Linked DNA regions of Tamandua tetradactyla. The protein of the gene in region 1 interacts with the protein of each later gene in a biochemical or structural test. Links are inferred from orthologs where the notes say so. Each region holds a gene or a part of one and is shown in the gene's direction. Other genes may lie near its edges. The genes, in order: H1-5, CCNA1, PRKCA and HPF1.

Region 1 (5,621 bases):
GTTCCTGGAGAACGTGATCCGCGACGCCGTCACCTACACCGAGCACGCCAAGCGCAAGACCGTCACCGCCATGGACGTGGTCTATGCGCTCAAGCGCCAGGGCCGAACCCTCTATGGCTTCGGTGGCTAGGCTACAGCCCTTAAATAAGTCTTAACAAAACTAAAGGCCCTTTTTAGGGCCCCCCACGAAATCTGTGAAAAGAGTTACGTGCACTTTTTAAACTCTATACCTGATTGCGTTGGTTTAATACGGGATTTTACATAAAACCCAAGGTAATGGAGAAGTCAACTATGGTTTTCCCGGTCAAAATCAAGCACTTAGACGATTTCAGGGGTAAATTCTACCGGCGGGCAAGTTGGGTCGACGACAGCCAAATCCACTGTCACGTTTTATTCACATAGCCGGGGGGCATTTATGTTGTGTTTTTAAGTTCTATCACTCTATAAAGTCAAACGTAAATACGTGGCAACAGCTTCAAAGCCAATGAAGTCCCCTTTTACAGGAAAGTTGGCTGGCCGTGGCTTTAACAGTGCCTTGGGGTGGTTCTTAAGTACGCTTAAAATTTAATACTATAGGTATAGCGCTTAGCGACTCGGATTTCAAAGTACTTGAACCCCCTAATTAAACTGATCTCGTTTCCTTAACACGTTACTCAATAATGTTTTGTGGCAGGAAATCATTCAGGTCACTTTCTATTTAAAAAAAGCGCTAGGCGCTTTTAGATTCTCAAACCAACAACACACGTAATTCTGACGCGTTAAAAAAAAAAAAACCTACAGGCTTTGTTAAGAGGTAGGTAACTTTCTTTGTAGACTTTACCAGACTGAAATGGAAGTGGGAAATATTTCCCATTCATTAAGGGATTGAACAGAGAACCAATCAGGTGGGTGAGCTAGGTCAGTAGAAATCTGTCGAATCAGAACGCGACAGTCGCTATAAATACTGGGACTAACATCCTTCAGTCTCACTTCTGTGCGACTGTTACTCTTCTCCGTTATGGCTCGTACTAAGCAGACAGCTCGCAAGTCCACGGGCGGCAAGGCGCCGCGCAAGCAGCTGGCTACCAAGGCAGCCCGCAAGAGCGCCCCCGCCACGGGCGGCGTGAAGAAGCCGCACCGCTACCGGCCCGGCACCGTGGCGCTGCGCGAGATCCGCCGCTACCAAAAGTCCACCGAGCTGTTGATCCGCAAGCTGCCGTTCCAGCGGCTGGTGCGCGAGATCGCGCAGGACTTCAAGACCGACCTGCGCTTCCAGAGTTCGGCCGTGATGGCGCTGCAGGAGGCGTGCGAGGCCTACCTGGTGGGGCTGTTCGAGGACACCAACCTGTGCGCCATCCACGCCAAGCGCGTCACCATCATGCCCAAGGACATCCAGCTCGCCCGCCGTATCCGTGGCGAGAGGGCTTAAGTATACGCAGTGTTTCACTATAGTGCCGTCCAAAAGGCTCTTTTAAGAGCCCCTCAATTGTCAAGAAAGGAGTTGTTTATACCTTGTCACTACAAGCTGGACTCAACACCCAGTGCCACGTGGATTAAACTAAGAGGCTGAGTACCGATCAAACGTTGACATGGCTATTTCCGGCAGGGCAATTGGCACCAAGTCTGTAAATGGATAAATGCGTTCTGCATTCATGAGGTGGTATTAGGTTTTTTTTTTAACGCCTTAGCAAACTGAAAGGCTCCCATCCCTTCCTTAGTTTTATCTTGCCTATCCTTTACCGTTAACTCCCTCTCCTACGTTCCATTGTCCAGGTGTAGTTAAATTTAAATACTCGCTCCAGTCTTTCACAATACTCTTGTGATTGCTGTGACTCTCAAGTAGCAGCAGACAAGCAAAGATTGCATTTGAAAGCAGTTACTGGTCTCAGTAATCTCAACACTTAACCTAACACATTAGGACCTGCTTATTAGCCTGACTCAATATTTTTAGTTGTCTTGAAAGTTTCTATGTTCTTAACATATGATTATTAATTACCTAATTGTGTGCTACTTTCCTTTTAGGGTACACCCTTTTAACTCCAGGAGGTGGCAGTTAATGTCAGTGCAATTTTTTCTTGAGTGTTCTCTGGTAGGTTAATCTTCTAGGCCTTTGTTTTAACCCTAGTTCATACATCAGCCTAACAAAGGAGGCTTGTATTCCACCCACTGGCTCACTCAAGGTTTTTTTGGAATATGGAAATTGATTCTGCAAAAAGAAATAGATAGGACCAGCCAGCAGCATCTTCCTATAGATTCTTTAGAACTTAGAGCTCCTTTAGGGGCTGTCAGTTAGTTGTATGGTCAGCTTGATGCTGCTTCTTCCAAAGTTCATATATGGTCCCCCTCCCTAACCGCCCCCCCCCTATATTTTTCTACCATAATAGATCTGGAGCCTAGTAATCTAGACTCCAGCCCCATTGCTGCCAGCTGCTAGCTAAATATCTCTGGAAAAGTCACTCATTCTCTCTGTGTGTCTCATCTTATAAAGCCGTAAAATGTGCAAATGAATTAAAACCTGTAGAACATAGTTCATAGCACTTAGCAAATACTCATTAAATGTTAGCTGTTATTGTTGTTCCCAAACCCACCCCTGGGAGCATGGAGTTTTGAGATTTTTTTTTTCCTACCCCCGGATCCTTTGAAAATATTGTGATTGAACAGTGAAAAATACTTGATAAGAAAATTTCTTGCTTCGATTCCCTTTTCCTTAATTCTTGATTTGCATGGTCCTGAAAAAGGCCTGCAGCAATATACTATGATCTGTCTCTGTGTGGAGTTTGAAACAGCACAAAGACCAGTTAGCAAATATTTTAGGTTTTACAAGTCACACATGGTCTGTGTCGCTTATTCTTTCGGTTTGTGTGTGTGTTTAATGAGACTTTTAAAATGTAAAAACCATTCTTAGCTTGAGGGCCACATGAAAATGGGTCACTGCCTGGATTTGGCCCCAAAACCATAGTTTGCTATCTGCTCCTGGAGTTCCTGGAAAGAAGAAAAGGGGGATTGACCATTCAGCCATTCTTCCACAGTCGTACAGTTTTTCACTGGCAAGAACTAAGTGACTGTCAATTGCATTAGAGATCTAAATTATCATCTGATCTTCCTCATCAACCGAAATCAAAATCCTGTCCATTTTTCTCCCAAATATATATCAGACTCTTGCACCATCCATTGCAACCTCATAATCATTGCATCCATTCCTTTGGGGGGGGGGCGGGGAGATGCTTTCATGAATTATCCTGAACTTCTATAACTTCTAGTCCCTCAATATCCAAACCACCCTTCTCTCAGTAGTCAGATACTTTTCCATAATACAAGTCTATCCCTGATTAAATAGACAGAAATATCCCACTGGAGTCTCCTGGCTGCTTGGACAAGAGCTTTAAGACTCATTAAGTTTTGAGCTAAGGAGTCAGTGTCTGAGCACTGGGAAAAAAATGTCTTGTGAGCCTGACAGGGTCCAAGGTCATCTAAACAGTTGGTGCTTTATTCTGAGACTACTGCGAGCCCTTGAATAGTTTTCAGCAGGTTTGAGGGTTTTTGCTTAAAGCAAATCATCTGGCTATGCATTTTTTGTCATGGTAATGGCTTTGGTCAACTAAAGAGAAAGCATCTCAGCCAGTTCACATACCAAATTCAAAAGCAATTTGAATCCAGGTTTTTGGACTCTGAAGCCAGAGCTATGTGCACTCATCCTACTGCAATATGGAAGATGTCATTCTGGCAACTGACCTTTTTCAAGCTCCTAAGTTTCATTCTCGAAGGACACCAGCACATGGACACTCCTAGGAGGCAGAACCAAGTTTTAAAGAAGGGTCTAATGCAGTTAATTTGGGACTATAGGCAACCAGCTGCCCTGGCCTGTGTTACTTGGTACACTTGGAAACAAAGTTTCTCCCCAAACTAAGGAACACTGTGTCTTTCCTCCCGCAAAAATCAAAGGCCAAACCTATGGAAAAATTATCTTAGATAACTTTTGCTGGATACTTGGTAGAAATTTCTTGCAACATGCCACTAACTAGCAACTTGTGTTCAGCCACGTGGGTTCATATGAAAACCTGAAAGGATTTTCAGAAATATCTTTTATCAGTTGCGCACGGTTCATGAAAACAAAAACAAGTGTGTGAATCTTGAGGCTGTTTTCTTCCTTTGGAACTTAAAAGCGTCAAATTCTGTACTGCTGTTTTCAGCATTTAATAAAATTTTGGAGACTAACAAACACAACTTGGGAGTCCAACCCCGAGCGGCGAGAGCCCGAGGGCGGCGGATTGGACGCTCCACCAATCACACGGCAGCGTCGGCTTATATAAGCCCTGGGCAGGCCTGGGCCAGCATTGCTGAACTTGTTCGTTCTCGGTATAGAATCTCTTCTTTAGTTCATCCTCTCGCCATGTCGGAAACAGCTCCTGCTGAGACCGCCGCCCCGGCGCCGGTGGAGAAGTCTCCTGCTAAGAAAAAGGCGACTAAGAAGGCGGCAGGCGGCGGCGCTGCTAAACGCAAAGCGACCGGCCCCCCGGTGTCTGAGCTGATCACTAAGGCGGTAGCCGCTTCCAAAGAGCGCAATGGTCTCTCCTTGGCCGCGCTCAAGAAGGCGCTGGCGGCCGGCGGCTACGATGTGGAGAAGAACAACAGCCGCATCAAGTTGGGACTCAAGAGCCTGGTGAGTAAGGGCACGCTGGTGCAGACCAAGGGCACCGGCGCCTCCGGTTCCTTCAAACTCAACAAAAAGGCGGCCTCTGGAGAAGCCAAACCTAAGGCCAAGAAGGCCGGTGCGGCTAAGGCTAAGAAGCCCGCCGGAACCACGCCTAAGAAGCCCAAAAAGGCTGCGGGCGCGAAGAAGGCGGTGAAGAAGACACCGAAGAAGGCCAAGAAGCCGGCGGCGTCAGGCGTCAAGAAAGTAGCCAAGAGTCCTAAGAAGGCCAAAGCTGCCGCCAAGCCGAAGAAGGCGGCCAAGAGCCCAGCCAAGCCTAAGGCCGTGAAGCCGAAAGCGGCTAAACCTAAGGCCCCTAAGCCCAAGGCTGCCAAACCCAAAGCTGCAAAGGCTAAGAAGGCGGCTCCCAAGAAGAAGTAGGAACCTGGTGTGATAGAAAGTGAATAAAGCCCCAAAGGCTCTTTTCAGAGCCACCCAAAGGTCTCATGAAAAAGCTGTGCACTATAATACCAATCCTCAAACCTCCTGTCTACCTCCTTGATGAATAAACCTTCATCAGTGAGTACCAGCTCCTAGGGGGGCTTGTGTGAACAATAGTAACCCTGCAGCTCTGTCCACATGACATTTCTTTTAAGATTGTGGGACAGTACCCCTTCCGGCTACTTCCAAATATTTATTTGGTTCTCTTAATATTTGTTACATCCTATGTCAGAGGTGCAAATTTGGTCATTTAGTAAAACAGCCTGCCTGTTTATAATAAATTGGTTTAGGCAGAGCAAAGCGCCCCGTACGGTAAGGAGTTAGCAGTTTACTACACTGTTTCCCTGCAAAAAATTCTCTTAATGTAAATTGTCTGCAACCTACTTTCGACCTGATGCTCTTTACGGGGCAGCTACGAAAAGAGAAACTAATTTTAAAAACCCGCGCCATACTTTTTGATTGGTCGAGTGTTATTCTGGCAGTTGACGACTCACTTGTATGATTTTGATAT
Region 2 (7,920 bases), on another chromosome or scaffold:
CAATTGCTTCACAGAACTGATCGAACAATAGATTTGCACAGAAAAAAACTGATATGAGCTGGATTATTCATTTAAAGTGTATAATTATTAAATTGCAACTGCCTTTAATGATGAGATGACCTCACTTCAATATATGATTTATCGGACTAGTTTGAGACTCATGAAAGATAGCACAAAATTCAAATTAGATGGATTTTCAGCTAAAGTCTGACAACTCAAAACTTCATTTGATACATTTCCACGATTTAAGCCATTCTGGCACCACCGGCACTCTGCAACTCGTTTTACCCTTGGTATGGACTCTTGGAGTGGCTCATGCCACAGCGCCTGACTCTGCAACCCAGGTGCTGGTGGCATCAATGCACCTCTAGCTGGGCACATTTCTAGGGACTGACCCATGGGAACTGAGGGCCAAGACCTTTCTCTCACGCAGTAGCGCAGGAGGCTGGCTTCTCCAGGAGACAGTTGCTGGTGGATGCTGTAAAGGGGCCAGTGGAGACAGTCCTGAGGGGTATTTTGGACATCACAATCTACTGATTCCTTGGAAGGTGCGGGGTGAAAACTCAACTGAAAGCTCTTGTTCTTTAGGCTTCCCTTTCTAGAATGTATGTAGATTATACCACCTGCCCTGTTTGTTAACTTTTATTTATTTTTCATTATCAGATCTGGGTTCTGCTTCCAAATATCCAGAGCAACATGCATTGCTTCTTTTCTCTGACTTCCAGTGGCTACCTTCTATTCACCTGCACCCACCCTGTTGAAATAAACACTAATTTAGCTACACTGTTATTATCTAGTTACCTCTCTGGGTGTCCTGGCTGGAACAAAGCCTTCTTCATTGTTCTCCTCATACACGGCTGCTGCCTGGCATATGATGGGTGCACCAAACATTATTTGTAAAATGAATGAATATTAGATTTTGGCTAATCTCATGTATGCATTCAAACTATTTTCACTCTATAGAGATGACTGTTTGGCATGTTCTAAATGGAAACTTACTTCACCGTTATGTAAATTTGTGGCTGCATCTCGTTAGTAAGTGGGGCATGCTTGGTCCACATAGCCTTCTGGAGTTATGGGCTAAGATGCTGTGAATGTCCCGCCACCCCCACTGGTCCTTCCGTTTTACATGTACACCTAAGATGGACTAAGGCATGAACATGCAAAACATGCCCCTAAATGTACCTCTGCCCTGAAATAAAATCAGCTCTTCTACTTTTTCATCTCTTTCAACCCCACGCCAAAAATCAACTTGATTTCATGCTGATTAATGAAAAGCGAAAGGCTTGATCAGGAGGCTAATTACTAGGTACAATGAGCAAATGTGATCGAAGTAATAACTGCTTCTGAAATGCCAGGTAAATTGCTGGCAAACAGAAAAGACTGTCTTTGAATTGTAATTTGGGGGTTAGGTGGGGAAGAGGAGTTGATTTTAATAGGACTACTGGGTTTTAAAAAAACAAGGAAAGAATTCAGCTGTCACCTCTGGTATGGAAATTAATACTAGCGTCAAAATTAGCTGAGCACTGAATATCAAGTAGGAAGTGCTGCCCAAATTAATTGAAATTAAAAAGATGCTTTATATATATAACTTCATTAAGCCAAATATTTTAGATATTAAAGAAAATTGCATTTACAATTAAATGTACAATTCACTTCCCAGTATAGTGTACAGTCAATACATAATTTATGTAAAACTTGTAGAAATTTAAAAATCTATTAACCTTGCACTCCAATCCTGCTTTCCCCAGCATAGCAAAATTATAATTATGCATCTCATTGCAACTATGTAATTTGTGAAAAAGTCCTTTCTGCTCCTGTTTTTCTTAATTCTATTGCCAAGTTTTAAGTTTAGTTAGATATTTTATATAAAACTTGTGCACATATTCATCAGTTAAGTTTGTATCAAAAAAATGGTTTGAAGTTTTTTTATGCAGCTAAAGTCAAGAAAGTCACACTTTTACACAAGCTATACAAGCTACAGAAACATTTGAATTTATATGTACACACATATATAAATATATACAAGTATCAGTTTATCTAAATCAGTCTCCAATTTAAGATCTGACTGGAGAGCTCTGATTTAATATGGAATTCTAAAGCAGCACAAAGAGAAAACAATCATAAGTCATTTCTCATTTCCCTTTGGCAAGTTTCACAATATGCGTGGAGAGAGAAGAGATAATGTTGACATGTGGTAGTAATAGTAATAATTTTATTTTTTCTATTTTATTATTTTAACAATAATAATAGTTATTTCATGCATATAAAGATGTATTGGCATGATGATGAATATGCAACTATGTGATGATACTGTGAATTACTGATTATGTATGTAGAACGGAATGATCAAAATTGGAATGTTTGCGTTTGTTATGTGTTTTTTGGTATTAAAAAAATAAAATAAAAATTAAAAAAAAAAGATGTATTGGGCTTCAGCTATTGGTCCGAGATGATGATATACAAGGAAAAAGGTATGAAAAAGGTTCCAGCTGGTTGACAGTTACGTTTTAAAGGCTATCTTTCCAACTGAAGCTAGCATATAGAGGAGGACACTTCTGATCACGATTTGAGTGGAAACACCCAACTTTAAGGGGCTGTCCCAACAGGAACTTTCCTGTCACTACCCCTTTCCCATCTCGAGCTTTAATCCCAGGAAAAAGATTCAACATGGCAAGCTTCAAGCACAAACTTTGCACTGGCTTCTCTGTTTCAGAGGAAAAGCAAAGGGTGGGAGGGTTTGGTTAGGTTTGCCGGAGGAAACCGGATCGAAAGGCAAGTCACAGGGGTCAGGGCGTGTGACCTGATCTCTGCCAAAGCCACTTGGACCAACTTGCTCCTGAGACCCAGACCAGGTAACCACGGAGGCCCCAGCGTCCCCGAAATCACAACGGCTCCGCCAGGTGGAAGTGGGGTGAAGGCCAGGCAAGGAGCAGACAGAAAAGCTCCTTTTTTACCCCAGAGAGCCATCTGGCAAAGCGCCAACACCGAGGTCTCTTGGCGCTGGACACCAAGCTGTTTCCACATCTCTGGGCTGCCTTCTCACCCAAAGGCACGGGAATTTGGGGTGCGAGGGGATCACTGATTCCCCGCGACTGCAACCCGTGACCGACGTGCAGAAGTTGGATTCTTACCGCACAGAATGGATGTCTGCGCTCCTTGCGCACGCAGCACCCAAGCCCAAGCGCGCTCCGGCGTCCTCTCATCTGACCCCCGCCCCCCAGCGGCTGCCACCCACGCCCTATGGGAATACCTATATTTTCCCCAAAACAATGCACACCCAGTTCGCGGGATGAAAACTTAATAAAGAACACTTGGACATTTGGAATGCTAAGAAGGACCAGGACGTGCATTCCAAATAAGACAGAAACAAACCCTTGTTTGTCGCAGTTATCTACTTCAGAGAATCAGGGATAGGAGCTTCTGATTTTAAGAATAAACCACTCTGAGGTGGCGACAGAGAGGCGGCCGGCCGCCACCGAACTTGAATGTTCTTTTGAAGACAGTTTCCCCCGCCCCTCCTGGGGTTAAAACCTGGGAAAAAACGCCCTTCTGCGTTGACTCCTTTTCGCCTGGTGCCAGTACCTGCGTCTTTGAATTTTTGACACGGCCTGGGAAGCACGCCGGGTGTTAGTTGGAGGGTTATCCGGTATATTAATGCCTTATTGATAATGGCAGAACATCCACAACTACTGGACACAACTCAGATTTTAAGTGGTGATATTTCTCTTCCGTCTGCTCCTATTCTGAGTGCAGATGGAACCCAACAGCATGGAATCAGAGTTTATGAAGCTATTAAAAATGATCACTTCAACTGCATTCTTTGTGATTTGCACATGTGAAGATTTCCTGAAGCTTTATTTTCTGTGATAGACCATTGTAAAATACCTGAAAGAAGCATGACTCTTACAGGTGCTAATTACTATTCATCTTTAAAGAGTGTTCTCAGTAATTAAACTTTAGTTCAGTTATTTGTTAATATGATTGAGTGTATATCATACATAAGCACACTTATAGTTTGCATAATGTATTGCAAAATTTAAATAACCTGACAGTATTTGTCATCCATATAACTTTTGAAACTTAGAATTAAGTCAATAATTTCTTTTTAGTTGATCCTATCATGTGGTGAAATGTTATCTAGTCTCAATATTTTTTGTGTGAATGTACAATATAAGAACTAATATCATATACAATATAAAACTAATGTGCATGCATTTTAACAGCATAATGAATTGACTTAGACATATTACAACAATTTGTATAAGAAAGCTTATTCTGAAAGTGGTTAAAAGGGAAATGTTATATTGAATATACGGTAATAGGATAAAATTTTTAAAAATCCATAAAACTTGGTGATGAATACACAACTATGTGATGATACTGTGAACCATTGATTGTATACTTTGAATGGACTGTATGGTGTGAGGATTTCTCAATAAAAATATTAAATAAAAATAAACCACTCCCGGCTGAACACAGCAGTGACAATTTTGTACCTGCAGGGATGTGCACCCACAGATTCACACCTATGGGTTGTATGTATATGTCTTCAATCTTTCATCCATCTAGGAAAGTTTTGGATTCCTTCACCTGTACGGTGGGCCTTCCAATTCAAGGGCCCTCCCCACGTGGCCAGCCCACCTCCCACTTCCGGGCCTCGCCAGTGTCTCCCCCTCCCCACTTCCCCATCTCCCCAACGTCCCCAGCCTCATCGCTGCCACCCGCGTTCCTTCCTCTTCCTGGGCCACTCTCTTTGCGCTCCCGGACCCTTCGCGCCATGGCGACGGCAGCGGTCCGGGAAGGCCTCCCGTGGGGGCCGCGGGCACCCCGTGTGCCCCGAAACTCCAGATCCCTTCCGTGGCCCGCCGCGCACCATGTCCCGGGCCCCAGGCGGGCCAGGCGTGGCCCCGGGAGCGCGCAGGCCGGGGAGTGACCGAAGGCGGGCCGCCACCATGAACAGAGCGCCGCGGTTCCACCCCGGGGTCTGCCCGCCACCCCCGGCTGCGGTCTGCGAGGACGCCTAGGTGCGTGGCCAGCGTTGGGGAGCGAGCGGCGCCCTCGGGCCGGAGCGGTCGGTGGGGCCGCGTCGCTCTCCCGAGCCAGAGTTCGCAGGAGCTGGCCGCGGAGAGACGTTGGCGGGAGGAGTTCGCGGCTGTTGGGGGAACCGGTCCCGGGGCCACCGCGGGCCTGGCCATCGCGGGCCGGATCCTGCCTCCCGCCCGGGCCGGACGCGCCGGCGAGACGCGCAGCGGGTGCCGGGTGCCGTGGCCCGCCCGGGACAGCCCGGCCGAGCAGCAGGAGCTGGGCGTGCCCGTTGACCCCGGCGAGGTGGCAGCCCCGGGCGCGTCGGGTGAAGGGGTCGCGATGGAGACGCGGGCCCCGCGTGCGCCCGCTGCGGTTGGCATGGGAGCGGCCACGCGAGTCCCAGCGACGCCGCCAATTGGGGCCCGAGCGGAGCGGGTGGGGGGACAGGCAGGCCCGCTCAGCGCCCGGGTCGCTGCGGGAGTCGGCGCCCCGCCGGAACCCAAGCCCCGCCCACGCCCCGCCCCCTCGGGCGCCCCTGCCGCCCTGCTCCTGGTGGGCGCTTGCTGATTGTTCCAGACACACACCTCCACCTAACACCTCCATCTAACACACCTCCATCTAACGCCGAGGCGAGCGGGGCTGTCGGGGCCTCCAAGCAGGTTTGGGGGCCTCAGTCCGGTGGGAGGAGGGCTGCGGAGCAGCACCTGCGTGGCACCTGTGTAGGGGACACCCATTCCCGCAGTGCTGTTTCCTGGGCCTTTGGTTGGGAATCAGGGGGCATGAGCTTAGGGCAGGGAGAGGCTTGTTGGTTTTGACCCCAGGTTACCTGGGAATTGCTCAGTGGTCCTGCCTCCAGCAATTGGAGGTTTCCAGGGCTCTGATGCCTGGTGCTGCTGCTCGCGTCCTTCCAGCCCTTCCAGCTGCTAGGGGAGCCTAGCCTCGATGCTCTGCCTCCTGGCGATCCGCTGCGCCCTTGGAGCCGGGTGGGGGCGGTTGGCTAACTCGGTCGCCCCTCCTCTCTCCTGGCAGCCACCAGTGGTGATGGAGGGCAGGCATCAGAACAGCTCCAGGAGCCGTATCATCCTGGCTCCAGCAACCCTTGGCCCCGACGCCTGTCAGATGGTCACCAGGGCCCAGCTCGGTCAGGACGCCCCCCAGAGGACCGTGCTGGGGGTGCTCACTGAGAACGGGCAGTACAGGACCTGGGGCCAGGTGAGAGCAGCCCTGGAGCCCCGTGGAGCCCCGAGGACTGCCCTGGAGGGTTTCCAACCCTGAGTCATGGGGCTAGTGGGAAACCCAGTTTCAAGGGTGGCCTCGTCGGGCCCCATTGCCAGCTAGAAATAGTGAACAACCTCCTTTGTTATTTTTCCAAATTTAACTGAATCTAAGGATCATTTGTTTTAAGTATATGTGACTAATTCCAGTTCTAAGCTAAAAAAAAATGTGTATTGACAAAACCATGGATCTGGGTTCTTTCAAGCCTGCTGGGGAAGGGGAAGGGCGGGACGGGGTGGGGGGGCGCAGCCCTGCACAACCTTGGCTTGTTCACCTTAGACAGGGTTGGAGACAGATCGGTTCTGCCGACTGGATTCACAACGAAGTCTGTGCTTTGAGAGCAGCTGCCTCCATGCTCTGGCCAGAGCACTGGGCTACCAAGCAGTGTGCTGGTAGCAGGCCTGGCTGATCTGACTATAAGTTCATCCTTAACTGATTTCAGTTCAGACCCTTACAGGACACCTAAGAATGAATCCTGGAACAGGGAAATGCTTCCCCAAGTCTGTTATCAGACAGGCCCTTTCATAGTGGTGCCTTAAAAACCTGTGTTGCACATCTGAGACAGAAGCCAGGAGCTTCCCAGGCAGCTTCCATTTTAGAGTTGAGAAATTTTGAAAGGCTTGAGAAAGACCAAGACCCCCCACCCACCCAAATACATATATGCATTTTATATATACAGTGGAGGATAATTAGAAGCCCATCTATCAATTCTTTGTCATCTGCCTTTTGTGGTATCTGACCAGTGGACGGAAATAACTAAAATGTACTGCTCAAAGCTTTGGAGAAACTTGAGTGAATGTGATTTTTTAAAAAAATCAGAGTCTATTATTTTATTTGTACATTGCTCCATTTCTCACAGCAATAAATGAGATCACTTACTATGAAAACAGAGGCGTGAGTTGGATTTAGCCCTATTAAGTCAAATATATGACAAATCAAAATGTGAAAAAAATCACCACATTTAAATTATTTGTTGTATCACCAAAACAAAAGAAAACATTAGTCCATTTTGGATAGAGAGCAAAGACTCTTTACAATGCTTTACTTAAGTCTTGGTCCTCCTTTGCAGAACCAAACCAGTGGCTCTTTCTTGCATCCACTCTAGCAAAAGCATGATTTTCTTGGGTGTAAGTGATCCCTGAAAGCCCAAAGAAGTCTGGCACCAAGCCAGGCATTTGGTATATTCAATCACATGATGAGAGAAGCCAGTGTGCCCATTTGCCCATTTTATATATTGCCAAAACAGGCCCAGGTGCTATGCTAAAGAATGACTCTGGTTTTCAGAAAACTACAATCTACTTACACAATGATCTCTAGTCTCTGAATTTGATGAAGAAAGGTTCTGATTTTTTTTTAACCCACAAACAAATCACTTTAATTCTTTTGCTTTTTTTTAATTTTAAACATTTATTTGTGATATAAATAACTCCTTAATTGCAATTAATCAGTTTTAACTATTCTGTTGGCAATTTGTCACAAATAAATGAAAGAACGTCTTTATAATTATACTATAATTATATATGGTTTACATTATGGTTCACAGTTTGTGTTGTATAGTACTATTTTGCTGTTTTAAATTTTTATTCCAGTAACACATAGACACCTAACATTTCCCCC
Region 3 (7,951 bases), on another chromosome or scaffold:
AAGCTGTGTGATAGGTACATGGGATTTTTTATCTTAAGCTCTTTGTTTTGACAAATGTTTGAAAAAATTCACAATAAAACGTCAAAAAGCTCAATATCGTAATACATAGTGGGCATAGAGCCCACTGGTTCTTGTTAAAAGATTCAGGACACCTGGGCAGATACCTTTCCTCAAAAAGGTTTAGAAAAGCATCATAAGATAACAGTTAAGTACTGGTTCCCATTTCAATTAATTTAAAAGTGATTGGAAAGCTATGAGGAGTTACTTGGGTCCTTTTGGATCTGGCATTTTCAGAGAATCCAGGCATTATGCCCTTGGCTAAAGGCTGAAGTGATCTTGAGTGATGTTTTAAGTATAAAATGCTAACTCCAGGATAATTTTTGTATACTTCCTCCATATGCCATCTCTTGCTTCCTAATTTATAGTCACTGCAAGCCAAGGGAAATTACATCTGTCATATTTTGGAGGAAGAAGAGGAAATCAGCCTGCTTCCTACATAATGCAGGCTGAGAAAGACCATCCAACCTTGTATTTGTATGAATTTAGCAATCACTAGCTATTTAAATGAATGCTATAATACCTTTATACATATGCCGTTTTGCACATGTGCATGTATATTTGTGAGATACATTCTTATAAGTGGAGTTGCTAGGGCAAAGGGTTTGATGCATTTCAAATTCTGATAGTTATTGCCAAATTGCTTTTTATCATATTTGTGCCAATATAAAGTCCTACCAATGATGTATAAAACTGTTTGATTCCCATACTCTTCCTGAAACAGTGTGCTATCACAAATTTTATATGTGCCCACCTGTGAGGTCTCCATGGGGTTATAATTTGGTCTTCATTTGCCTTTATCTTGCTATGAATGAGGTTGAGCATCTTTACGTATTTGAAGAACTATTTGCATTTCCTCTTTTTGGAGCTATCTGTTCATGACACTTCCCTCTATTTTCCATTGTACTTGTTACTCTTATTCTTCTGGATTAATATCTGGTAGTATATCTATTCCTACAAGTTTTTTTTCATTTAGACTTTTGAATCATGTTCCTATTTCGGAAAAAAAAACCTATTTGTAAATAGATTAAGGGAAATTGACTTTCTATGTCTCTTCCTATAAAAGAAGAGGATATGTCTTTCCATGTATTCAATACATAAATTGTATTCAAACAGTTAGCTACATTTTTAACAGATGGCTACCTGGGAAATCTGAACTGGGAAGGGCAAGAACAGAAGCAGGAAGACCAATTAGGTGACGACTGCAGTGGCCTAGGAATGAGATGATGGAGCTTGGATTTGGGTGGGGGCCATGGACAGATGTGAAGTCAGTCTTGGATGTAGAGTCAACAGAATTTCCTTGTGGATTAGAAGTGGGATTGAGATAAAAGGCAAAATAGGAATGATATCTCAGTTTTCCGCTTGAACCCCTGTGTGGCCCGTGATGCTATGAGATGGTGGAGACTGAGAAGGGGTCCTGGACAAAGGTATGCTTGGACTGTAAGTCCCCAATCCTATACCCGATGGAGGCTGCCCACAGTAGAGGGAAATACAACCAACCAGAGGCAACCTTGATGTTCACCAGGGTCTCCACCAGCCCAAATGGTATCTTGGAGTGAATTAGAAAAAAGGTACCCCTTCTGGACAGACAGAGGCCCAAAGACGTATGGCTTGGTGAGGAATGTATGAACTGGATTTCAGCCTCTACTCGATCTCTTGGCTGGGTGCTCTTGTGTTGTTAGCAATCTGCACAAATTTAACTGGTAGCCTTGGTGCTAACTTCTGACCAGGGCTTCTGACTTGCCCACCCACCATGAACTCTGACCCTGCACCCTAAGCTTACCCAATAATGTTCCCTGTCTCTTGACTTCTGCTTCACAGTTAGATCCCTGTCTCTATCCATTTCTTGAGACCTGCCAACTACTGTGATGCTAATGACCACCTACCCAAGCATTCCACCAGTTTCCTTCCCTCACAAAAACCTTGAACACAATGCCTTTAAATGAGTTTGGTTCCTATAAACCTCAAAATCAAGGTTTTTCCACCCTTAAACAATTCCTATTGCCAAACTTGAAAACAGCCTCATCTATTTGAAAAATAGACCAGCTTTCTATATAGGGTAACATATTTAACAGTTATAACTTGAAGTTATTGGTTTTATGTGAGCCACTCTTTTTTCAGAGTCATCAGTTTGATGCTCTGACTTTGATCCCAATCTCCAATCTCCAGGCCACATCTCTGCAAAGAATGTTAAGTTGGTTCCTCAAAGATAGAGGAGACAGAGGAGGATTCTGACAGTCTGCGTTCAGTCTACCATTTCCTGTTCTTTCTTGCAATTTCGCCATGAAAAGCAGGCTCTAAAAAAAATCACCAAGGCCCATGACTGGTTGACCACTCTCACCTGCAGTTCTCCTTTCCTTAATCCCCACCATTTTAATTATGCTATGGGGACTTCTCAGGTGAGCTTCAGGGACCAAGTATGGTTCACTTTCCCATCAGTCTCTGTTGGGGAGGGGTAGGTGACACTGCTTGGTAATTCCCCAGCTCCATGTCCACCACCCCAGCCACCCAACTGGGCTAAGATATAGGGAACTGATATGCTCCTGTCCAGCCAACTATCAATCAGATGTCTTCTGTTTAGTCATTTCTCCCTGTACCCTCAAGGGACAACAATATCAATAGGCAGGAAAGCAAAGCAATAACCTGAAAGGAAAGAGACATTTTCTCCCTCTGGTCCACTGACTGCTAAGGGCAGAGACTCTGCTCATACAGGAGACCGCCAAGGCCCACTTGGTTCTTAGCCCTTAATCTCTATTACTTTGCTCAGGGTTTCCCATTCTCCAACCTCAGCAACCCCACCTTCCACCTCTCCCCAATTTTTCTTCCATCCTTATATCAATACTCCAGGGAAATAGAAAGAAGTTTATTTTTATAAAATGCGTAATGACCACTGACTTAGATAATGATGGTTATAAGGAAAGAATCATGCACTTTACTCTGCGCTGTATTTGATTTACAATTTTTTTTGTATGCTGTATGGTGGGGGTCACATTTCATTATTTTTCCATGTGACTATCCCCGTATAGCAGCACCATTTGTTGAATATTGTGTTTTTGTTTGGTTTTTCATTTGTTTGCTTGTTTGTTTGGGAAATGCATGGGCCAGGAATCGAATCCGGGTCTCCCACATGGCAGGTGAGAATTCTACCATTGAACTACCCTTGCACCCCCCCAATTTACAAATTTATTAAGCAATAACTAACCATGACTTAAGAAGATAGTACATATCTTAGAAAAGTTGATACTTTAACATCTTAAGGGATCACACAGCTCATTCTCTGTCTTGATGTCTTCAGTTCATGAAGTTGTTTGGTGAATTTAGTGAATCTGACAATGAAATAAAGCGTAATGACATGATGAAAGATGTCTCTTTCTCTTATGTATCTTAGCATCCTTGGGGCAGAACTAATAAATCCTCAGCAAGTGATTACTTGGTACAGTCACATGCGTGTCCTTTGCATATCCATGCCAGCTGCCCTATTCAAGCATTTTTTTTTTTTTTTTTTTGGCAATTTACAAATGGACTGGTTGCACTCTGCACCTATCAGTATTGCAGTAATTAGTTTAGGATGAAAAGTGATTTCTAAATGAAAGTTCTGGAGTTTCTTACAAAACCAAGAAAGCCTAATAATCAACATTGTAGGTGTTGTAACCAGTGAATAACGGGATAAATAACTGGGACAAGTTCATTAACTTTCCTACCTGCTGATAATATCTGAAATACATGTTAGATGTTTATACAATAAGTAGGTGAAATATAGGTCAATAGCAATTGAAGCTAGGCTGAAGGATCAGTGCTCAATTACTTGAAATTGCTCCCTAACTCCTGCCAACTATAAAAAGCATTCTGGTCTGGGGGTTCGGCATTTTAGGGCACACACAATTAGAGTGACATTTCAGCCTTGTAAAACCTCAAACTGGTACAAGTTGATAAAACATGGGCATCGTGCCTTGGAAATACCGGTGGGTCCGGGGAAACGGGGGACGACCCAGGTGTGTGTGTGGGGGGCGGGGGGCCAAGGGAGAGTGCAGGTCCGAGCGGGTCGCACCGAGGGCCGGGTGAAGGAGGCAGTGCGTGGAGCCCCATACCGCAACTCGGGGTTCCTTTCCGCCACGCAGCAGAGGCGCAGAACTCCGATCCGGGAGAGGAGACAGCGCGGGGCGAGGAGGAGAGAGCTGAGCAGGAGAGAGTGGGAGGAGGAAGATGATGAGAGGAGAAGGCAGAGCGAAGGGAGCGGAAGAAGAGAGGAGAATGAAGAGGAGGAGTAGGCGAGAGCGACGAGAGCCCGGCAGAGGAAGGGGAGAAAAAGGGAGGAAAAGCAAGGCGGCGGCGAAGAACGGCCCGCCCCCGGCCGCTGCCTCCTCAGCTCCCAAATTCGAGCCGGCCCTTCCCGGGTCGCTGCCGACTCCTCCCCTTTCCGGGCTGCAGCGAAAACACGGAGGCGCCGAGTCCACCCGCGGCCGCGTCCTCCCGGCTCAGCGCAGCTCAACGCCGCGGCCACACCCCCCACGCGCGCCCCCACGCCCGCGCGCGCTCCTGTTCCGCGCGCCCCCACGCCCGCGCGCGCTCCCCACGCGCGGCCACACTCGCACGCGCGGCTCTCGCACTCGGGGCATGCGCGGTGGGCGGCGCCACTCCGCGCCGCCTCTGCCGCCGCGAGTAGGAAGCGCGAGCGCCCGGCGCCGGGCTGTCAGTGAGCGTGGGGCCAGCCAGCTAGCGAGCGGCTCCGGCTCCGGCTCCCGCTCTGCGCCGCTCCGGCCCGGCTCTCCCTGGCCGCCGCCCGTCCGGCCGCCGCCGCCGCCGCGCCTCCTCGCCGCTACCCCGGCCGCCGGCTCGCGCCCCCCGCCCGGGGTCGCCCACGGCCCCGCTGCCCTTCCCCCGTCCGCCCCCGCCCACCCCAACCCTCCTTGGCTGCTGCTCCCCGGCGGAGGCAAGAGGTGGTTGGGGGGGACCATGGCTGACGTTTACTCGGCCAACGACTCCACGGCGTCTCAGGACGTGGCCAACCGGTTCGCCCGCAAAGGGGCGCTGAGGCAGAAGAACGTGCACGAGGTGAAGGACCACAAATTCATCGCCCGCTTCTTCAAGCAGCCCACCTTCTGCAGCCACTGCACCGACTTCATCTGGTAGGTGCGCGCGGGGCCGGAACGCGGGACGGGCACCCCCGGGGACGCGCTCGGGGCGCCCCCGGACCTCTCTCCGGGCGCCCAGGTCCGGGGACAAGTGTCCCCTTAGCGTCCCTTGGTCCCGGGGATCCGCGCTCGGGTCCTCCAAGTCCGGGGAACTTGGAGAGCCCGCGTGAGTGCGAACTCTCGCCCGAATGCCACACGCGCTCCCGGCCCCTGACACACGCGCGGTCCGGACCCCTGGGGAAGTCACCACCCCGGCCACACACCCCCTGCCGCAGGAGAGAGGCTGGCGGGAGCGGCCGTGACATTGACCACCCCCCTTCCCCCCCCCCCCCCAGCACGGGGCCATGACTCCCACCCCCCTCCCCAGGCGTACAGGCCCTTCGCGCAGATCGCGGAGCCCTGGTTTGTCGGGTGTGAGCAAAGACCGGGACATGAAAAAGAGGAGACTTTCGAGGGGAAGAGTTTCCCGGAGGAACACGCCCTCGGACTAACCCGGGAGCGGCGGCCGCGGCGGCGGCGCTGCGCGCGGTCCAAGTTGTTGGGCAGCCGGGCGGGGCGCGTTCGGGGCTGTGGGCTTGCGGTTCCCAGCGGGCTGGGACGCCGCTGGAACTTTGGATCGCTGCCTACTGTAGCTGGTATCTGCTGGGCACCGAGAGACTTTGACTTTTCGAGGTGAACCGTAGAGAGGCGTCCAGAGGCAGCAATCTGTTGAAAGCTTGCAGTGGGGGAGGGGGATTAAAACCGAGCAGGCGAATGGCAGAAGGGCAGAGGGAGTCATTTAAAATAGACCCTGTCAACAGGAGGTTAGACCTGTAACCCTGTTGATGAGGACAGAGGCCTTACTTAAGACAAATAACCGTAACGGCTAAAGGTGTCAGAGTTCAAGTAATTTCCAGTGTACTCAAGTATTCTTGGGGGGAGTTGACAAATGGATGGTATTAGGGGTCTCTGAACCCGGCAGAACTTAATTGTGCTTTTTTTTTTTTTTTTTTTTTTTTTAATACCGGTGAGAGGATTATAGTTTTGGTCTGATTCTCAAAAGGTCTGTGTTCTTCCTCCCTACCCTCCCCCGCACCCCCCCCCCCGGAAAAAAAAAGTTTAGAAATCTGAAACTCCAGGTCCACTAGTTTGAGGAGCAGTAGCTGTGTTTTTCTCTTAGGTTGCCTGGCACCCTACCTCTTCTATCTCTTGTTGGTGGGTGTAGGACGCTCCTCCTAAGCCAGAACTGTGGCTAGGTTTCCTTAGCTCCCTGCTTTTGTGGGCCTGGAAATTGAGCTGGATGTCAGTGCCCCATTGTGTACCCCGCCAACAGCCAGCTGTGTGCATGTGTATCTTGTTATTTACAGGGGCACTAGGGAGAAGGTTTGGGTGGATTTGTCTGTGTCCATCACTCCTGGGGGAAGGTGTCTGAAAGGGCAAGCAAGCCCTAAAAATGCAGTGCTAATTGAGTGCTTAATTTTCCTTTCCCTTTGACAAATCAGCTCAAAGGTACACTTTGGAAAAGCACAGTCACGTCTGTGAATGGTCACCGCTGTGCAGTCAGCATATGAAGCAGTTGTGCTCCTAGGAGTAGGTAATTGTAGATAAGGCTTTTGACAATAAATTGTTGGAGTGTCAGAGCAAGGGGAAGAAGCATGTAGTTCAGCGCAGGTCTTCTGTCTTCCCTGTCAACTGTGAGGTTCCCTTTAAAGGGAGCAGTTATCTCAGAGTGTGGATGACTTTTGCAGAAAGTACGTGAGTTAGAGAGCAGACTTGCACCCTACCCAAGCTAGCTGTCTTCCCACTGTCAGTTGCCCTGAAGGATCTGCCCCTTGGTGAACCGCTGTGGCCAGCCAGGTCGCCAGGTGTGCTGTGAAGTGGAAATACAGGTCTTCCCCAGAGTAACCCCTTTGCGATGCTTCTCACCTCATTCTACAGCAGTCACATGCAAGTGCCAGGAAAACATCTGTCAGAAAATTCTGGCTTTAATTTTTCAGTTTTCTTTTTTTTTCTTCATTGTTTCTGTGGGTTCTTGATTTATAAGTTTCACTTAAATCTTAAAGCACAGTCATTAAAAAAAGCTAAATGTTTTGGATTGAGACATGCTTTATTTGGCAGGGTTGGTGGTGGTGGTGGTGGTGGTGATTCTGAGTTAATTATAAAGGTATGTGAAGTGCTGTGCAAATTTAAAATGTTACTTGACATAAGGGATTATAACCAATAATCTTTTGTGAAAATTTTAATGCAGGCCATTCTAGAGGAACAGTGTTTGCAATTTAATGTCCATGTCAGTGTTCTCTGCTCAGAGAGTAGGTTCTCTGAAGCAATTTAAGGAACGAAATAGCCATTGTGTGCTTTGAATACTACTGGTTCTCAATAAAAATTAGATCATCATGATCTCAAATGCAATACATGGAAATGATTTTTTTTTTGTCACATCTAATTCCTTTTAAATGGTAAGACTGATGCTGTTTGGCAATTTCTAGACCCATAATATTTTAAACAAACAGAAACCACTTTTTAGTTGTCTTCAGGAAGAAGATTTTCAGTTGGTCTTTAGGAGCAGAATTAAGTCACTTCCTTGTTTTTTTTCATTAATTCCTTTTTCTGACTTAAATATTATAGCCAACAACTTTGAATACACGATTATATTCTTGTTTTAATTTTAAGCAGGTATAACATAGGGTACAAAATTAGAAAGAAGCTTGAAATAGTGATATAGTTCAGTGATGCTATGAGGCCAAGACAGATTTTTTTTTCCAAAGTTGAATTTGTACATCAAT
Region 4 (6,973 bases), on another chromosome or scaffold:
GAATTGTGGGATTGACAATGCCTCCTTGACCAAAAGGGGAAAAAGAGATGTAACAAAATAAGGTTTCAGTGGTTAAGAGAGTCCAAATAGAGCTGAGAGGTCATTCTGGAAGTCACTCTTATGCAAACATCAGCCACATATTGCAAATTGCCACAGTATACCAAGCTCCAAACATTATTTCTGTAAACCCTATAGAATAACCAGGGCTCTGTCTGAGACTCTATAATAGTTTCACTCATTTATTTCTCAGAAACCTAAAACCTCCAGATGGTTCCTAGGCCAGATAAGTCCTGAAACCCAGAGTTACCAGTGTCTTCAACAACATCAATCAGTTGCATCCCCCTACCCCATAATGTCGGTGATGGTCATTGCCCAAATATCCCTAAAGATTGAGAAAGGAGCAAGTGAGAGGGAGGAGTTGAACAGAGAAGATAGGATTTAACAAATGAGTATGACTGCTGGATTGTTATATTGATATTTCTTTTTAGCCTCCAGTGTCTTGGAGCAGTTAGAAGTAAGTGCCTGAACTTGGGGAACTATAACTCATACAATTTGTTCTAGTTTGCAAGCTGCTGGAAAGCAATATACCAGAAACAGAATGGCTTTTAAAAGGGGGAATTTAGTCTAAGTTGCAAGTATACAGTTCTAAAGTTGTGAAAATGTCCAAATGAAAGCAAGTTTATAAAAACATCCAAATTAAGGCACCAACAAGAGGTTACCTTCGCTCAAGAAAGGCTGATGTCACAAATCCCAGAGTGATTTGATCAGTGAATGGAAAAGTATTTGTAAAGTCCCCTTTGGGGAATGGTGAGAACGGGGGAAAATTCAACCTCCCCAAGTTGAATTCTTGATACTCTCACAAGCAGTGTGGACAACCAAAGCTATAGGCCAAGCCCCCAGTCATATGAAACTTAACCCCACAAAGGATGGGTCAAGCCTACTTAAAATTAGGCCTAAGTGTCACCTCCAAGAAAACCTCTTTTGTTGCTCAGATGTGGCCTCTCTCTCCAGCCAACACAACACGCAAACTCACCACCTTTTCCCTGTCTACGTGGGTCATGACTCCCAGGGGTGTGGACCTTCCTGGCAACGTGGGACAGAAATCCTAGAATGAGCTGAGACTCAGCATCAAGAGATTGAGAAAACCTTCTCAACCAAAAAGGGGAAGAGTGAAATGAGACAAAGTGCCAATGGCTGAGAGATTCCAAACAGAGTTGAGAGTTTATCCTGGAGGTTATTCTTACACACTAAGTAGATATCACCTTGTTAGTCAAGATGTAGTGGAGAGGCTGGAGGGAACTGCCTGAAAATGTAGAGCTGTGTTCCAGTAGCCATGTTTCTTGATGATGATTGAATAATGATACAGCTTTCACAATGTGACTGTGTGATTGTGAAAACCTTGTGTCTGATGTTCCTTTTATCTACCTTGTCAACAGACGAGTAGAGCATATGGAATAAAAATAAATAATAGGAGAAAAAAAAAAAAAAAAGGCCGGCATCATTCAGGGTTTCTCGCCCAACTGGAAAGGCACTTGGTGAACATGGTGACGTCTGCTAGCTGTCTCTGCAGACTCCTTGTTTCATGAAGCTCCCCCAGGAGTGTGTTCCTTCTTTATCTCCAAAGGTCTCTGGCTGCATGGGCTCTGCAGCTCTCATGGTCTCATGGATCATGTTATGCTGAAGCTTTCTCCAAAATGTTTCCTTTTTAAAGGGTTCCAGTAAGCTAATCAAGACCCACCTGGAATAGGCAGGGCACATCTCTGTGGAGAGGATCTAATCAAGTTTCCACTACAATGCTGGTTAGGGTTTAAAAGAAATGGCTGTCTCCAAAAGATGGAATTAGGACTAAACCATGGCTTTCCTTGGGTACATAGTCCTTTCCAACCGGCACACTATACTTTGAGATTTGTTGTATAGCTACTTATTACAATGTACTTTGAAATCTATCCCTTTTCTGAATGTATGTTATATTTCACAACAAAAAATGGTTAAAGGGTCAATGCAGAGTTATGAAGACAGCATTCTGGAAACCCTAAAGTTTATATTTTCAGAGACAAGAGAAGATGTATCCATGAAAAAAAAGAACAATATGCTATAAAAAGAACACAGCATGAAGAGTCCTTACAAATTCAAGTATGATAAAAGAAATCAAATGATTTGATACAAGAATCCTCTAATAAAATTGAGAAAATCACATAGAAAATAGAATAAAAAGACAGAGATAAGAAATGGGACTGATAAGGAAAAACAGCTGTCAAGAAGGTACAGCATCTGAATAACAGGAATTCCAGAAAAAGAAGATACAGTAGGTAAGGCGAAGCTAGCAACTAAATAATATCCCCCAAATGCACAGAACAGAACATAAACTAGTGGAGAGGAAATAACCATATAAATAGCTCCAGAAAACTTGCCAGACCTGAAAAACACAAGTTACAAGGGTGATAGTGATAGAAATGAGAACAGACCCACCGGCCAGACATGTCCTATCTTAGAGCAGCAAGAATAGGGGAAGATCCTACAACTTCTCGAGACAAAAAGAAACAAGAACAAAATCAGGTTGCATATGAAGACCTGGGTCACCGGCCAAGGAGCAGGGGTCAGAACGCTGCGAGCCTTCCCCAGGGCGATGCTGGAGACTGCAGGACGCGGGGCCACGGTGCGGGTGCCTTCAGCATCACGAGCGGAAATTCTGCTCAACCTCAAACGCCACCCTCGCCAGGACAAAGGCAGTTACCCACACGCAAGGTCGCAAAGAGCTCCTGGCGTGCCGCATTTCGCATGAACTCCTGAGGACGGGCTCCACACATGAGCTCGGCAGATGTAGGAAAAGGAAGACCCGGAAGGGGCGAGGCGGGTTGGGCGGAGCGAGGCGGGGCCGAGGCGGGTTGAGCGGGGCGGGGCCGAGGCGGGTTGAGGCGGAGCGAGGCGGAGCGGGCTGAGGCGGGTTGGGCGGGAGCGGGGCCGAGGCGGAACAGAGGCGGGTTGGGCGGGGCGGGGCCGAGGCGAGTTGAGGCGGAGCGAGGCGGAGCGGGCTGAGGCGGGTTGGGCGGGGGCGGGGCCGAGGCGGTTGGGCGGGGGCGGGGCCGAGGCGGGTTGGGCGGGGCGGGGCCGAGGCGGGACAGAGGCGGGTTGGGTGGGGCGGGGCCGAGGCGGAACAGAGGCGGGTTGGGCGGGGCGGGGCCGAGGCGAGTTGAGGCGGAGCGAGGCGGAGCGGGCTGAGGCGGGTTGGGCGGGTTGGGCGGGGGCGGGGCTGAGGCAGGTTGGGCGGGGGCGGGACCGAGGCGGGACAGAGGCGGGTTGGGTGGGGCGGGGCCGAGGCGGGTTGAGGCGGAGCGAGGCGGAGCGGGCTGAGGCGGGTTGGGCGGGGGCGGGGCCGAGGCGGGACAGAGGCGGGTTGGGCGGGGCGGGGCCGAGGCGGGTTGGGCAGAGCGGGGCGGGGCGGGGCCGAGGCGGATTGGGCGGGGCGGGGCCGAGGCGGATTGGGCGGGGCGGGGCCGAGGCGGATTGGGCGGGGCGGGGCCGAGGCGGGGCCGGGCCGAGGCGGGGCCGAGGCGGGTTGGGCGGGGCGGGGCCGAGGCGGGTTGGGCGGGGCGGGGCCGAGGCGGGGCCGAGGCGGGTTGGGCGGGGCGGGGCGGGACCGAGGCGGGTTGGGCGGGGTAGGGCCGAGGTGGGTTGAGGCGGGGCCGAGGCGGGTTGGGCAGGGGCGGGGCAGGGGCGGGGCAGGGGCGGGGCCGGGGCGGGGCCGAGGTGGGTTGAGGCGGAGCGAGGTTGGACGGGGACGAGGTGAGATGGGCGGGGACGAGATGGGTTGGACAGGGCGAGGCGCGGGTTTCCGCGCGAGCGCGGAGCCAGAGCGAGGCGGGGCGGAGGGACGCGGCGGGAAGGAGGCGCGGGCGGAGGGGAGCGAGCACAAGGTGGGGCGGGGCCTCCCCGTTAAAATGCGCGGCCGTGCCGCAAGGAGCGTGGCCGGCCTTGACCCCGGAAGCAGTTAGCGGCGCCGGAAGCGGCGGATGGCTCTGGCTTGTTTGCGCCGCTGCCGTGAGATGGTCGGCGGTGGCGGGAAGCGCAGGCCCGGCGGGGCGGGGCCGCAGGTACTGCCCGAGGGGCTGTGCGGGCTGTGCGGGCTGTGCGGACTCCGCGGGGCGCCTTGTCAGCCTGGGCCCGGGGGACGGCTGATCTCTCATTCAGTGGTGCTTGAGCGCTGGCTGTGTACGGTGCTCGGCCTCCCCCGGGCCCCGTCCCGCTCTGCTGGGAGCTGGCCGCGGAGGCCTCGCTTCTGCCGTCCGCCGCGCTCCCGGGGACGTGGGGAAGGCGCGCGGCGGTTGACGCGTCCTTCGTTCGGGCCGCGGCGCAAAGCCCGGCCGGGAGACGGCCCCGACGGTGGCGTGTGGCTCTGCCTTCTGTCCGGAATGGGAACGCTAGCGGGTGGGCAGTGCCGTGGAAACCCCAAGGGACGGTTTTACAGGCCCTCGGGGGTGTTGGAAAGAGCTTGGGGGACGCCTGCTCGAAATGTTTCTTGAAGAATAAGTTGAAGGCGCTTCGGGCGGAGAGAAGGAAGGAGCCCCGAGTCGGGACGGGGAGGCGGTGCTCAGGCGCCGGGAGAGCGCCACGGCAGGAAGGCGCTCGGGTGGGCGTGGGGGCAAAACCGTGCATTTTCTCACCTTCACAAGATCTTAGAGGTTCTGTAGCCAGGGCAGGAGGAATAAGGGGGTTAAGCAGGGAGGAAGTTATTTGAGGTTTTAGCTAAATTGCTCTACCTGTGTTATAAACAACAGGGTGCAACATTGTTACAAGACTTCCTTGTTAGAAGGCTGTGGTCCTAGGCGTTCTTAATATTGGGTCACGCCTTCCAGGAGCCGTAGGGTAAAGTGTAGCCTCTGATGGCGACACCTATCCTAAATTCTAACTTTTAGGGATTTGGGGATGTTGAACTAGTGTGTGAGGTAGGTAGAACTGGAAAAATTCTCTCTGAAAGCACAGTGAAGAATTGCTTAGACAGAATACAGGTTTAATTAAGGGCACTATACCAAAAATGAAAGCGAGTCTATAAATAAAGACTAGCTATAGCTAACACTTAATAATGGCCAGCGTTTATATGCTGTGTGCTAGGCAGTGTTCCCTGTATTTTTGCATATAGTATTTCTCACCACGGCTCTGTGATTAACGATATAGCTATTAAAAGTGCCTTTTCGGTATGTATGCAAACAATATTACGCACAGGTTGTTTGACTTGCCACAGGTAAGATGGTTGGGAAATAGCGGAACCAGGAGTCAGACCAGGCCTTGGAGCTATGGAAAACTGACCATTATGCAAAATTGCCTTTCAGTAAGTCAGATAAGGTTTTTCTTTCTAACATTTAAAATTTGAGCCAGGAGAGGTCAGGACTCCATGTGTTCCTATTTGTTCATTTGTGGTTGGAGAAGCAGCGTGATGAAGTGATTGAGAATTTAAGCCAGCCCACCTGGGTTTAAATCCCTGCTCTGCCACTTTGTAGTTAGGGACCTAGGGAAGGTAACTTAATACTCTTAGAAGCATTGTTGCCATGAATATTCGTAAATGTGTGTCTTCTGACCATAAACATTTCATGGAATCTGCATTATACTAGAATGACATCACCAAACTTGAGCTTACTGAAGAAAACAGAAGAATATAAGAAATCTGTGATTCAGGATTTCTCAACTTCTGCACTGTTGGCATTTTAGATCGGCTAAGTTTGTTTTGGGAGCTATCCTATGTATTGTACGACGTTTAGCAGTAACCCTGGCTTCTAGGTTAATAACTGACTCCTTCTCCTCCATTTGGGACAACCAAAATTGTCTCCAGGTATTGCTCAGTATCCCCTATGGGGCAAAATCCAGAAAGAAAGGCTCTAAGTCCCTAGAAAGAAAAAACAGATTGTTGCTTACAAAACTCAAGGCATGCAGCTGCCAACTAATCTTTACAGAAAGTTATCACATATCTATTAGTGTTATGGAATCTAGCATGCTTAAACAATGAACCTCTAGTGATTAGGTGATACAAAGTAAGTTTGTAATCTAGTCCCAAAGTTAAAAAAAAATTGAGGTTTAGGTGCAAATTTAGTGCTGTTTTACTAACTTCAGTTGGAAAGTCAAAAGGAAGGTCACTGCTTTTAGATAGAAGTCTGAGAAATAATTGTAGTGATTAGCCCAGATAACTCTGGTTGAAATTTGCTGAAGAAACAACTTTTCTTTTTATTTTTTTAGCTGGTAAATCCTCATGCCCAATCTCCTGGTGTGATCATTGAATATGTCTAAACAAAAGGCATGATGACAAAAGAGGGCAAACCTGCCTTCTCCCACTTCTTTTGTTGGTCTTTACCTTTATTTTTGTACTTTTATTTTTCCATATTTCCGTTATGTTTGAGAAATATATTTAACGACCTGATGCATAGGTCCCTCTTGACCATAATATATAATGATCTATTCTTTCCTTTTTTCTTTGCCTAAGAAAATCCCAAGATTTTTCTCAGATACACTGTTTATAGAATGTTATAGAAACTATATATATCTGGTAGAGTTGGATGAATAAGAACGAATAAAATTGTTATGTAGGAAAAATTGTTGGCTTTCTCTTTAGAGAACTAACATTTTATATGCTGATTTTCAGTGTGAAAAAACAGTTGATGTGAAGAAAAGTAAGTCCTGTGAAGCTGATGTCTCTGTTGAGCTTCGAAAAGAAGTAGAAAATCATTATAAATTGTCTCTGCCTGAAGATTTCTATCACTTTTGGAAGTTCTGTGAAGAACTTGATCATGAAAAGCCAGCTGGTGAGTTGCTCCAGAATCATCTCCTGCTCCTACAAATGGAAAAGATAACTTGGTAGGACACTGGACCAATGATGTAAACGGATCTTAGAAAGGAGCATTTTCAAAGATATTTCTAATAAGAGAAATATAAATTAAAGCTATAATATGTCACCTGTTATATTGGCAAAGGTAAATAAGTTTATGAA

The links.
Region 2: of the proteins of H1-5 (region 1) and CCNA1, one has a biochemical effect on the other in vitro, tested with the Homo sapiens proteins (2 studies listed by BioGRID). The link is inferred for Tamandua tetradactyla from reciprocal best matches to the Homo sapiens genes H1-5 and CCNA1.
Region 3: of the proteins of H1-5 (region 1) and PRKCA, one has a biochemical effect on the other in vitro, tested with the Homo sapiens proteins (2 studies listed by BioGRID). The link is inferred for Tamandua tetradactyla from reciprocal best matches to the Homo sapiens genes H1-5 and PRKCA.
Region 4: the proteins of H1-5 (region 1) and HPF1 form a complex in vitro, tested with the Homo sapiens proteins (2 studies listed by BioGRID). The link is inferred for Tamandua tetradactyla from reciprocal best matches to the Homo sapiens genes H1-5 and HPF1.

What each region holds. Positions count from the first base shown.
Region 1 is NC_135351.1:30,971,333-30,976,953, reverse strand, and holds H1-5 (histone H1.5), read left to right. Parts: upstream 1-4,306; 5' UTR 4,307-4,369; coding exon 4,370-5,050; 3' UTR 5,051-5,110; downstream 5,111-5,621. Other genes in the region: histone H4, read left to right, coding at 1-130; histone H3.1, read left to right, coding at 998-1,408. UniProt on the Homo sapiens protein: Histone H1 protein binds to linker DNA between nucleosomes forming the macromolecular structure known as the chromatin fiber. Histones H1 are necessary for the condensation of nucleosome chains into higher-order structured fibers.
Region 2 is NC_135330.1:103,227,374-103,235,293, reverse strand, and holds the start of CCNA1 (cyclin-A1), read left to right. Parts: upstream 1-4,907; 5' UTR 4,908-5,027; intron 5,028-5,520; exon of another isoform or gene 5,521-5,687; intron 5,688-6,057; 5' UTR 6,058-6,069; coding exon 6,070-6,240; intron 6,241-7,920. UniProt on the Homo sapiens protein: May be involved in the control of the cell cycle at the G1/S (start) and G2/M (mitosis) transitions. May primarily function in the control of the germline meiotic cell cycle and additionally in the control of mitotic cell cycle in some somatic cells.
Region 3 is NC_135332.1:7,717,176-7,725,126, reverse strand, and holds the start of PRKCA (protein kinase C alpha type), read left to right. Parts: upstream 1-4,942; 5' UTR 4,943-5,010; coding exon 5,011-5,183; intron 5,184-7,951. UniProt on the Homo sapiens protein: Calcium-activated, phospholipid- and diacylglycerol (DAG)-dependent serine/threonine-protein kinase that is involved in positive and negative regulation of cell proliferation, apoptosis, differentiation, migration and adhesion, tumorigenesis, cardiac hypertrophy, angiogenesis, platelet function and inflammation, by directly phosphorylating targets such as RAF1, BCL2, CSPG4, TNNT2/CTNT, or activating signaling cascade involving MAPK1/3 (ERK1/2) and RAP1GAP.
Region 4 is NC_135352.1:43,136,968-43,143,940, forward strand, and holds the start of HPF1 (histone PARylation factor 1), read left to right. Parts: upstream 1-3,959; 5' UTR 3,960-4,010; coding exon 4,011-4,091; intron 4,092-6,628; coding exon 6,629-6,788; intron 6,789-6,973. UniProt on the Homo sapiens protein: Cofactor for serine ADP-ribosylation that confers serine specificity on PARP1 and PARP2 and plays a key role in DNA damage response.